2 linked regions of the Drosophila melanogaster genome follow. The protein of the gene in region 1 interacts with the protein of each later gene in a pairwise test. Each region holds a gene or a part of one and is shown in the gene's direction. Other genes may lie near its edges.

The links. Proteins that work in one complex are often made in the same cells at the same time.
Region 2: the proteins of CG18284 (region 1) and Ptp4E interact in a two-hybrid assay, tested with the Drosophila melanogaster proteins (one large-scale study listed by BioGRID).

Annotation. Positions count from the first base shown.
Region 1 is NT_033779.5:10,642,014-10,646,397, forward strand, and holds CG18284 (uncharacterized protein), read left to right. Parts: upstream 1-1,957; 5' UTR 1,958-1,981; coding exon 1,982-2,137; intron 2,138-2,331; coding exon 2,332-2,472; intron 2,473-2,544; coding exon 2,545-3,084; intron 3,085-3,146; coding exon 3,147-3,302; intron 3,303-3,356; coding exon 3,357-3,737; 3' UTR 3,738-3,878; downstream 3,879-4,384. Other genes in the region: CG31872 (uncharacterized protein), read left to right, coding at 1-80, 164-703, 771-926, 985-1,362.
Region 2 is NC_004354.4:4,937,488-4,942,189, forward strand, and holds the start of Ptp4E (protein tyrosine phosphatase 4E), read left to right. Parts: upstream 1-1,640; 5' UTR 1,641-1,713; exon of another isoform or gene 1,714-1,817; intron 1,818-1,949; exon of another isoform or gene 1,950-2,045; intron 2,046-2,093; exon of another isoform or gene 2,094-2,188; intron 2,189-2,934; 5' UTR 2,935-3,159; coding exon 3,160-3,360; intron 3,361-4,702.

The DNA of each region.
Region 1 (4,384 bases):
CATGTTCACAGTGCCAGAAAGCTAGTTACCCACAATACATTACGGAAGTGGACATCGAGATTGACGCCAAGCTGGACACGGTGAGCCATTTCACTCAAGAGATTCCATGGGGACAGCAGTTACTATAATAAAGGTTTCTATATATTTCTCTATCATTTGACAGCCCAAAATGATCTCAAAATATGGCCATCAAGCAGAGACCCATTACGCATTCACTGCCGACGGCTACAAGCTCTGCCTGCATCGGATTCCGCGATCTGGAGCCACACCCGTCCTATTGGTCCATGGCCTCATGGCCAGCTCGGACACTTGGGTGCAGTTCGGTCCATCCCAGGGTCTGGCCTATATCCTGTCCCAAAGCGGCTACGACGTCTGGATGTTGAACACTAGGGGTAACGTTTACTCAGAGGAGCGCCTGGCCGGTCGGGAGAGCGACAAGATCTTCTGGGACTTCTCCTTCCACGAGATCGGGCAGTACGATCTACCCGCTGCCATCGACTTGATCCTGCTGCAGACTAAAATGCCGAGCATCCAGTACATTGGTCACTCGCAGGGATCCACGGCCTTCTTTGTGATGTGTAGTGAAAGACCTGAGTATGCAGGCAAGATCTCATTGATGCAGTCCCTCTCGCCATCAGTTTATATGGAAGGAACACGCAGTCCAGCACTCAAGTTTATGAAAGTTCTTCAGGGTGGCTTCACAGTAAGTACAGGAGAAGTTTAAAAGGTATATCATTTCTATATGGTTCGATATATATTCAATATTATAGATGCTGCTTAATCTCCTGGGCGGCCACAAGATCTCCCTGAAAAACCGGATCGTTGACATGTTCCGTAACCACATCTGCAACAAGCTTATCCCCAGTCGCATCTGTGCCATCTTTGAATTTGTGGTCTGTGGATTTAACTTCAACAGCTTCAATATGGTAGAAAACAAGTCCCTGATTTTGTTTTCAAGGGTTCAGATATTACCTTCTTTTGTAGACACTATCCCCCATTTTGGAAGGTCACGCCTCGCAGGGAAGCTCCGCCAAGCAGATCTATCATTTCGCCCAATTGCAGGGCAATTCTGCTTTCCAAAAGTACGACTACGGGCTAATTCTGAATAAGATACGCTACCAGTCGATCTTTCCCCCACTTTACAACCTTTCCCTGGCACTGGGCAAGGTGGCTCTTCACCGCGGAGATGGCGACTGGTTGGGATCCGAATCGGATGTCCTTCGACTGGAGCGGGACCTGCCCAACTGCATAGAAAACAGGAACATTCGCTTCGAAGGATTCTCGCACTTCGACTTCACGATTTCGAAGGATGTTCGATCCTTGGTCTACGATCGCGTAATCGATTTGTGCGGTTCAAATTGAACTTTTAGCTTACGAATGAAATATTAGCAAATCAATTAATAGATTTGCTTGGCACATATGTGAAATTGCCTTTTCCTAAGGGCTCGGAAATAAATATAATTTTTATTAAGGGAAATTAAATATATACAAATATTTTACAATTTTCCCAGCTGTAATAAAGAAAGACTTTTATTATGATAATCGAAAATATGGAAATGAATAAACCGACAAAAGTCGCCAGTGTTTAGGGTGAATTCAGGCCAGAGACAATTGTTATGTTTTTATCCGTGTTATTTAATGAGGTCACAAATCAATCAAACAAAATACTAAAGAATAACGATACCTATCATACTAAGTACAATCTTCTTTTACGATTAATTATGATCAACCTGTAATTCAAGCTCCTTTAAAAAGTTACGATATCTTTACATCTAGCTGCTTGAATACAAAAAATGTATTTATTAAACCCTTGATCAAGGTTGCCCTTTGTTAAATATTACTTTAGTGATGCTCGATCGATATGTTAATCTAGTTATTCACTCCAAGCATGGATATTTTAATTTCAGGGTATTTTATCATTAACGCTATAAAAGAGTTCGATTTCATTTCTGCCTTCGAGAGTAGACAAGAAGGGAACGAAATGGCGATCGCATTTAATATTGCGATCTATGCAATAATTTTAGTGGGTAGTTTGGTACCCAGCAAGACTCAGGAATGGGTTCCATATGCATATCCTGTAGATGAAAATCAAGGATTGAATGAACAGACACAGTGGCAGTCACAATCACAGATTCAGGTAAACAAAGAGAGTGCAAAGCAGCTAAGATCCGTTGGACCTAGAACAACCACTACCTAAAAAACCCAAGCTTACCGTCAAGGGTAAACTCAATCACAGTCGCAAGATTTATTGTAAGGACGTGCTTAATCACCTATAAACTACAATCACAACCTCTCAATCGGAAGCCTAATCAAGCGTAATTCCCATTTCAGAGTCAAGGGACGTCACAATCACAAAGTCAAGCTCAAATTCAATCACAGCCTGAACCAAGGTCATGTTTACAATGTCAACAAGCTAGTTACCAACAATTCTTTGCGGAGGTGGACATCCAGATCGACGCCAAGCTGGAGACGGTGAGCCATACCACTCATAAGATTACACTTGGACAGCATGCAGTAACTATATATTTTTCTATCGTTTGACAGCCCAAAATGATCTCAAAATATGGACATCAAGTAGAGACCCATTACGCATTCACTGCCGACGGCTACAAGCTCTGCCTGCATCGGATTCCGCGGTCTGGAGCTACACCCGTCCTATTGGTCCATGGCCTGATGGCCAGCTCGGCCACTTGGGTGCAGTTCGGTCCATCCCAGGGTCTGGCCTACATCCTGTCCCAAAGCGGCTACGACGTCTGGATGTTGAACACAAGGGGTAACGTTTACTCGGAGGAGCGCCTGGCCGGTCGGGAGAGCGACAAGATCTTCTGGGACTTCTCCTTCCACGAGATCGGGCAGTACGATCTACCCGCTGCCATCGACTTGATCCTGCTGCAGACTAAAATGCCGAGCATCCAGTACATTGGTCACTCGCAGGGATCCACGGCCTTCTTTGTGATGTGTAGTGAAAGGCCTGAGTATGCAGGCAAGATCTCATTGATGCAGTCCCTCTCGCCATCAGTTTATATGGAAGGAACACGCAGTCCAGCACTTAAGTTTATGAAATTATTTTCGGGTGGCTTCACAGTGAGTGCATGAAATTCCTAAACAATATGTATATATTTAATGCTCTCCATTTCTTTCAAAAGATGTTGTTGAATCTCTTGGGCGGCCACAAGATCTCCCTGAAAAACAAGATTGTTGACATGTTCCGTAACCACATCTGCACCAAACTTATCCCCAGTCGCATCTGTGCCATCTTTGAATTTGTGGTGTGCGGATTTAACTTCAACAGCTTCAATATGGTGGGAAATTCATCACTAATTTGGATTTCACGGGTTAATATTGATTTTTTGTAGACACTATCCCCCATTTTGGAAGGTCACGCCTCGCAGGGAAGCTCCGCCAAGCAGATCTATCACTTCGCCCAATTGCAGGGCAATTCTGCTTTCCAAAAGTACGACTACGGGCTAATTCTGAATAAGATACGCTACCAGTCGATCTTTCCCCCACTTTACAACCTTTCCCTGGCACTGGGCAAGGTGGCTCTTCACCGCGGAGATGGCGACTGGTTGGGATCCGAATCGGATGTCCTTCGACTGGAGCGGGACCTGCCCAACTGCATAGAAAACAGGAACATTCGCTTCGAAGGATTCTCGCACTTCGACTTCACGATCTCAAAGGACGTTCGATCCTTGGTCTACGATCGTGTAATAAGTCTTTGTGGTTCTAATCGTTAAATGCTTAGATAACAAATTGTACTCTTAGCTTACAACTGAAATACAATCAAAGCAATTAACTGATTTGCTTAGCACAATCATTTTTTGAGGACTCGCCGCCAATGTACCTAATAATACAAAAGTAAAGAAAAAACAAAGAATAATAATTCTATTTAAAATAATATAGATACATGTTTCAGTAATTATAAAGAAAAAAGAATTCTTGGAAGAGGGGGAAAAATACTTGCCTTGATCATATAACATTTCCTAACAATGCGGGTGGAATCAGCATTCAGAATGAATTCCACCCATTGTTTAAGAGATTTTCATTATATTATATTATATATTATATCATATTATATAGGCGCTAAGTACATTTCATGGTTGAAATCTCCCTATGTGTAGACCTTTAATTCTTTCAACACTTCTGATCCAAAAAGCTTTAAGTAGCCAAATCTATATTACGAAATTATTGCTTGTTGACACTTGTAAGGATATCTATTTAACGCCAGGATTCAAAAATTATAATTTTCAAGGTTTTTTTTCCCTGCCAACCATTGGAAAATTGTATTGTAGTGATGCAACATCGGTATGTTAATTTAGTTATCCACTCCAAGCATGGTTATTTTAATTTCAAGGTCTTGTATCTTTTAACCTATATAAACGAA
Region 2 (4,702 bases), on another chromosome or scaffold:
AGGCAAAAACAAGAAAAAGCCGGAAAAAGAAAGTAAAAAGGCAGAAAATGTTTAGTTTATATTTCTAGAGCGAGAAAGAGAGAGAGAGAGATATGGGGACGTAGAGAGCGACTGTTAAGTAATACATTTGCAGAGAAAGCGCGCGCAAAAGACACAAGAAAAAAAAACACATTTGCATGTATTGTGTGCTACTTATTGATGGCGTTATTTTCTGGTGTTTTTCGCACAATTGCCGCAGTTTCTGAACGCTGCTTTTGACATTGGAAGAGTTCAAGCGGCTTTTTTTTTACGAATTCGATTTAAACTCATTTTCGATCTGCGAAGGTCAACAGCAAAACAAAATGAAGCCGACTGCACGCACACCAAGGCAATATTTACACAGATACATTCACCACAGTTGTATGTTGCTTGTGTTGCTCCTTAAATATGTTACATATTTAACATATATGATATGTTGTGACAATCAAATAGTACTTGCAATCTTTACCTTGGTTGAGCCGCTCGATTTTACAACTGTTATTTATCACACTTTATTTTCAGTTTAAAATGCACTTTTTCGCTTCCTTTTCACTTTTGATTGCTACTGACATCAACTTGACGTTCTGCTAGTGACTGTATGTTAGCTCCTAACAGCTTCGGCAATTTATCGATTAGTGCTGTTAACGCTACAGCTACCTAACAGAATTAAAGAAATATATTAAATTTAACAAAAATACTGAATACAGCTAGCTGGTCATACTCCTGTTTTACATTTTATTTAATTTACGAATACGTTTAATTTAAATTTTGTTGATATATAATTTAATAAATTTTTTGGTCTCAAAACGTCTTAGCTAACCCCACACAAAACCACTTCGAGATTATTCTGAGGTTCTACGAAAAAAAACTTGTTATATATACAGAGATATATGTATTTTAAAACCAAATAAAAATGAACCTGTATATAATAATACCATAAGATAGCTACTTACTCTACGAGCTGTGAGCCTTGAGTGCCGGTGCTCATATAACTTTCTTAAGCTTGCTTGATATAATTTTCATATTGCATATCTAAAAAAAAATAAAAAAATAATTATAAAATTTTTGTAAAAAGTTCAGTAAAAACAGTTTAATTCACTTATTACCTGGTATTTCCTTCTCTGCAAATATAAACGAATTTTAGATATTTTCAAATTTGTTTGAGTTGGTGTGTTCTGTTTATTATGAAAACATGGATACATTTTTAACAAGTGCTCAAAATATTATTTTATTTACTAAATATATCAATATATAAAATAAATTGTATTTTCTATTAGAAGACTAGTAATAAAAATGACAAAGTTATAATAATACCATTGGAAATAATTACCAAATTGCAATTTTTGAAATTGCAAAGTGTGACTGCACGAATACTTGTTGAATATCAACTGCATGAATTAAATTTCGCTTTCCGAATCAACGAAACATCAAATTTGGTCAAACATGAGCAAAACATGTCATATAATATTAACAATATATTCTTTAAGAAATTTAACAATTTTAAATAAATTATGAGTGACCCTGTGTTGTGTAAAATATGTGGTATTTATTCAGTATTTTTGGGTTTTTTTTTCTGTTTTTCGGCAGCACTGCGCGGCGGTCACGCCTTTGTATTGTATTTATATTCATTCGTTAAGCGACGGTCGTCCAAAAAGGCAGAAAATGTGGAAATTCATTGATGAACAGTGGTGAAAAGTGCGTGCAGTCATTCGCTTCAATTTGTCGTGGCCGATTCCTTTTCGCAACCAATTTTTCTTATTTTTTTTCTTGTCAGTAACAAGTTGTCGGTCAATAAAAGTGTCAGTTTATTTTCTGCATAATAACGGTTACTAAAGCCTAAATTTTTTGTTTGTGACTTCTTTTTTTTTAAACAAATGCGCCGACGCGCCAGAAGTTTATATTCTGTTTTTATGTTTTCCGCTTAAAACGAAACGTGACTAGTTTGTTTTAAATTGGTGTGCAACGAAAACAAGAAGAAGCGGATGAAGAGGGTGGAGAGGAGAGGAAGCAGAAGAAAAAGAGCAACAGTCAAGTGAATTAGTTTTTTTTTCGTCCATGCCGTCGCTGCCAACGTCGACGCCGTTGCGCCGCCGCATTTAGTCATTGCATCAGTGTGTCCGAGTGTGTGTGTGGCAGAGAGAGCGAGTGGGAGAGCAAGGGTGGAGTAAAAGTAAATGCGTGCAATTAGCATTTAATGCAATCACCATTAACCGCCTACTATTGTAATTTATATTACCCTAGTACCTGTAATTTACACATACACCTACACACACACCTGCTCAGCTAGTGGTAGTGCAAATATGAAGTGCAAAAAGCGGCGGCAACAACAATTGTCTGTTAATTGCTGGATATTTCGTAATGCAGCAACAATAACAACGGTAGCAAACTGTAATGCCACAGTGAAGACTCGCTAATCGAAACTTTGTCGGGCATATTAACCAAATTCGTTATATGTTTGCATTGAATTTACATTTCATATATTAACTTCTAAATCTCGTTAGATTTACATGCTCGCGTGTTCAATAGCAGGGAGGGCCCACTGTACTTGTAGTGAAGCGCCGTTACAGCCACAAATGCGTGTGAGTGTGATTATGTATGCATGTGTGTCTGCATCAAATCACACACTTGCAGCGCTCATGCACACGCACTTGTACTTGTGCGTGGCTCACATTTCCATAGCCAGCCGCTTCCCCCTCCACGATCAGTGTTGCTCTTCACCTGCAGCTTTCGCTTCTGCTTCTTCTTCTCCCGCACGCATGTGCCGTTACAAATTCGCTTGGACATAAATCATTTTTCGTGCATTAGCCGGCGATTGTTAATGGAAATCGTATTAGAAAACAACAATTACAATGGGCCCACATCTGCCGCTCTCGCTCTCGATCGCGCTCATCATTGCTCTCCCGTTTCCCGTTACAGAGAGTGCAATACAAGTGCAATATTAATTAAGTAATAGAGGAAACGTAATATGCGTGTGCAATACAAACAAATGACCATGTAACGGCCAACAGAAATGTATATGCAATACAAACGTACATACATGTGTAAAACAATAAGCGCAAAACACCGCCCATCCCCGCTTGAAAAGTAAAACCAGCAATCTGCGAAACCTTCGACCATCATTGGGTTTTACTGTACTTGAAAATGGACTGTGCCACGCGAAAACAACAACAATTACGGGCACATCATCAGCAGCAACAAATACAAATACAAACACATGGACGAAAGCGGCAGCAATTACAAAAACAACGCCACAACCACCACCACTACTACCAAAATTCACAACAACAACAAAAACATTTCGTGTGGCTTGTTGTTGGCATTTTGACAATTTTTTTGGCTCAGGTGAGTGAGAAAAAAAAATGAAGGAAAAGAAACAACAACAAAACATAGTGATAAAGATAAAGCGACAGGTAAACCCGCAAAGTTAGTTACCTCTATGATTTGGGGGAAATTCGTTGGGAAAATTCTGAGGACTCCTAATGGATGGCGCAGGGTTGTCAAAAATATTCATATTTTAACTAATTACAATGCAGATTTCATAGATTGGCCAGCAACACAGACAATTTGCTAATTATTTTGAAATGTTTTTTTCTGTTTTTATTGATTCTTTTTTTTTCGAAAATTACAAGCCAACTATTTTCCACATTTAGTGGCAGAAAATGTCTTAACTGGGTTTTTGATTCGCTGAGTGCGTTTTAGGAACTCGTTTGGCCGGTTCTAGTTGTGATTTTGGCTGGGTGTTATGTTATTTTAATATGAACTCGCTCAACCGCTCACTAAAATTGAACTAAAATTACGATAAATCCAGATTTCATATAAAATCGAATAGTGAGATACAAATATTTAATGTGTTCAATATTTCAAACCAGGTTTACTTGTTATCTGATCAAACTTCGGTAGTCAAACTATTGATTGCATAGCTCGAAATCTTTAAAGGCAATTTAGAAGCGCAAATTAGAAGTTTAGGCCCAAGTCAATTTGAAATGACACACACAGGTGATGAATCCGGTGATTAAATTTGATTTTGTTGGGTGATTTGTGGGCTTATTCCCGTGATTATTCCTTGTTTTATTGCCTGAGTTTTTTTTTTTACCTCGTTCACAAAACTCGTTTCATTTCGTTTCGTTTTGCATTGTTGTCGCATTGTTTCAGCGCAAACGAAAGACAATAAAAACAAAATCCCAACCATCGCAACGCAACAAGTAAAAAGTTAAAAAAAAAAAAAAAATGATGAAAACACTAAAAAGCGAACGCAAGTTAAAATCAAGGTTGGTTCTGATGACGCTGTCCATCGCAACTTCCTCACTCTGAAAAAATTTCAATACGCTTATCGAGCGATTCCCCGAGATAGCCCAGCATAGTCGTAAACTGTTTCTAAGCTTGAAATAATAAAAAATAAAAAAAACTATAGAAATCAAAGCCTTAATAAATAGATGGCAAAACTTGTATCTTTGCTGCTGCAGTTTGTGTATTCTTTGTATCTCAGATGATCACAACAACAATAAAGTTGTCCCTGATTTCGCAGTTTCTTTGGCCACAATAACTTGAATGCACTGCCGTCTTAGTTTTGTTTTTTTTTTTTCTTTCCACATGCTTCATATTCATAACTCACGTGTTTCTGGCACTGTGACTTTGGCTTTCATTTTATCTGGGCATTGCCGCGATTGCGGATCGCAGGTCATTA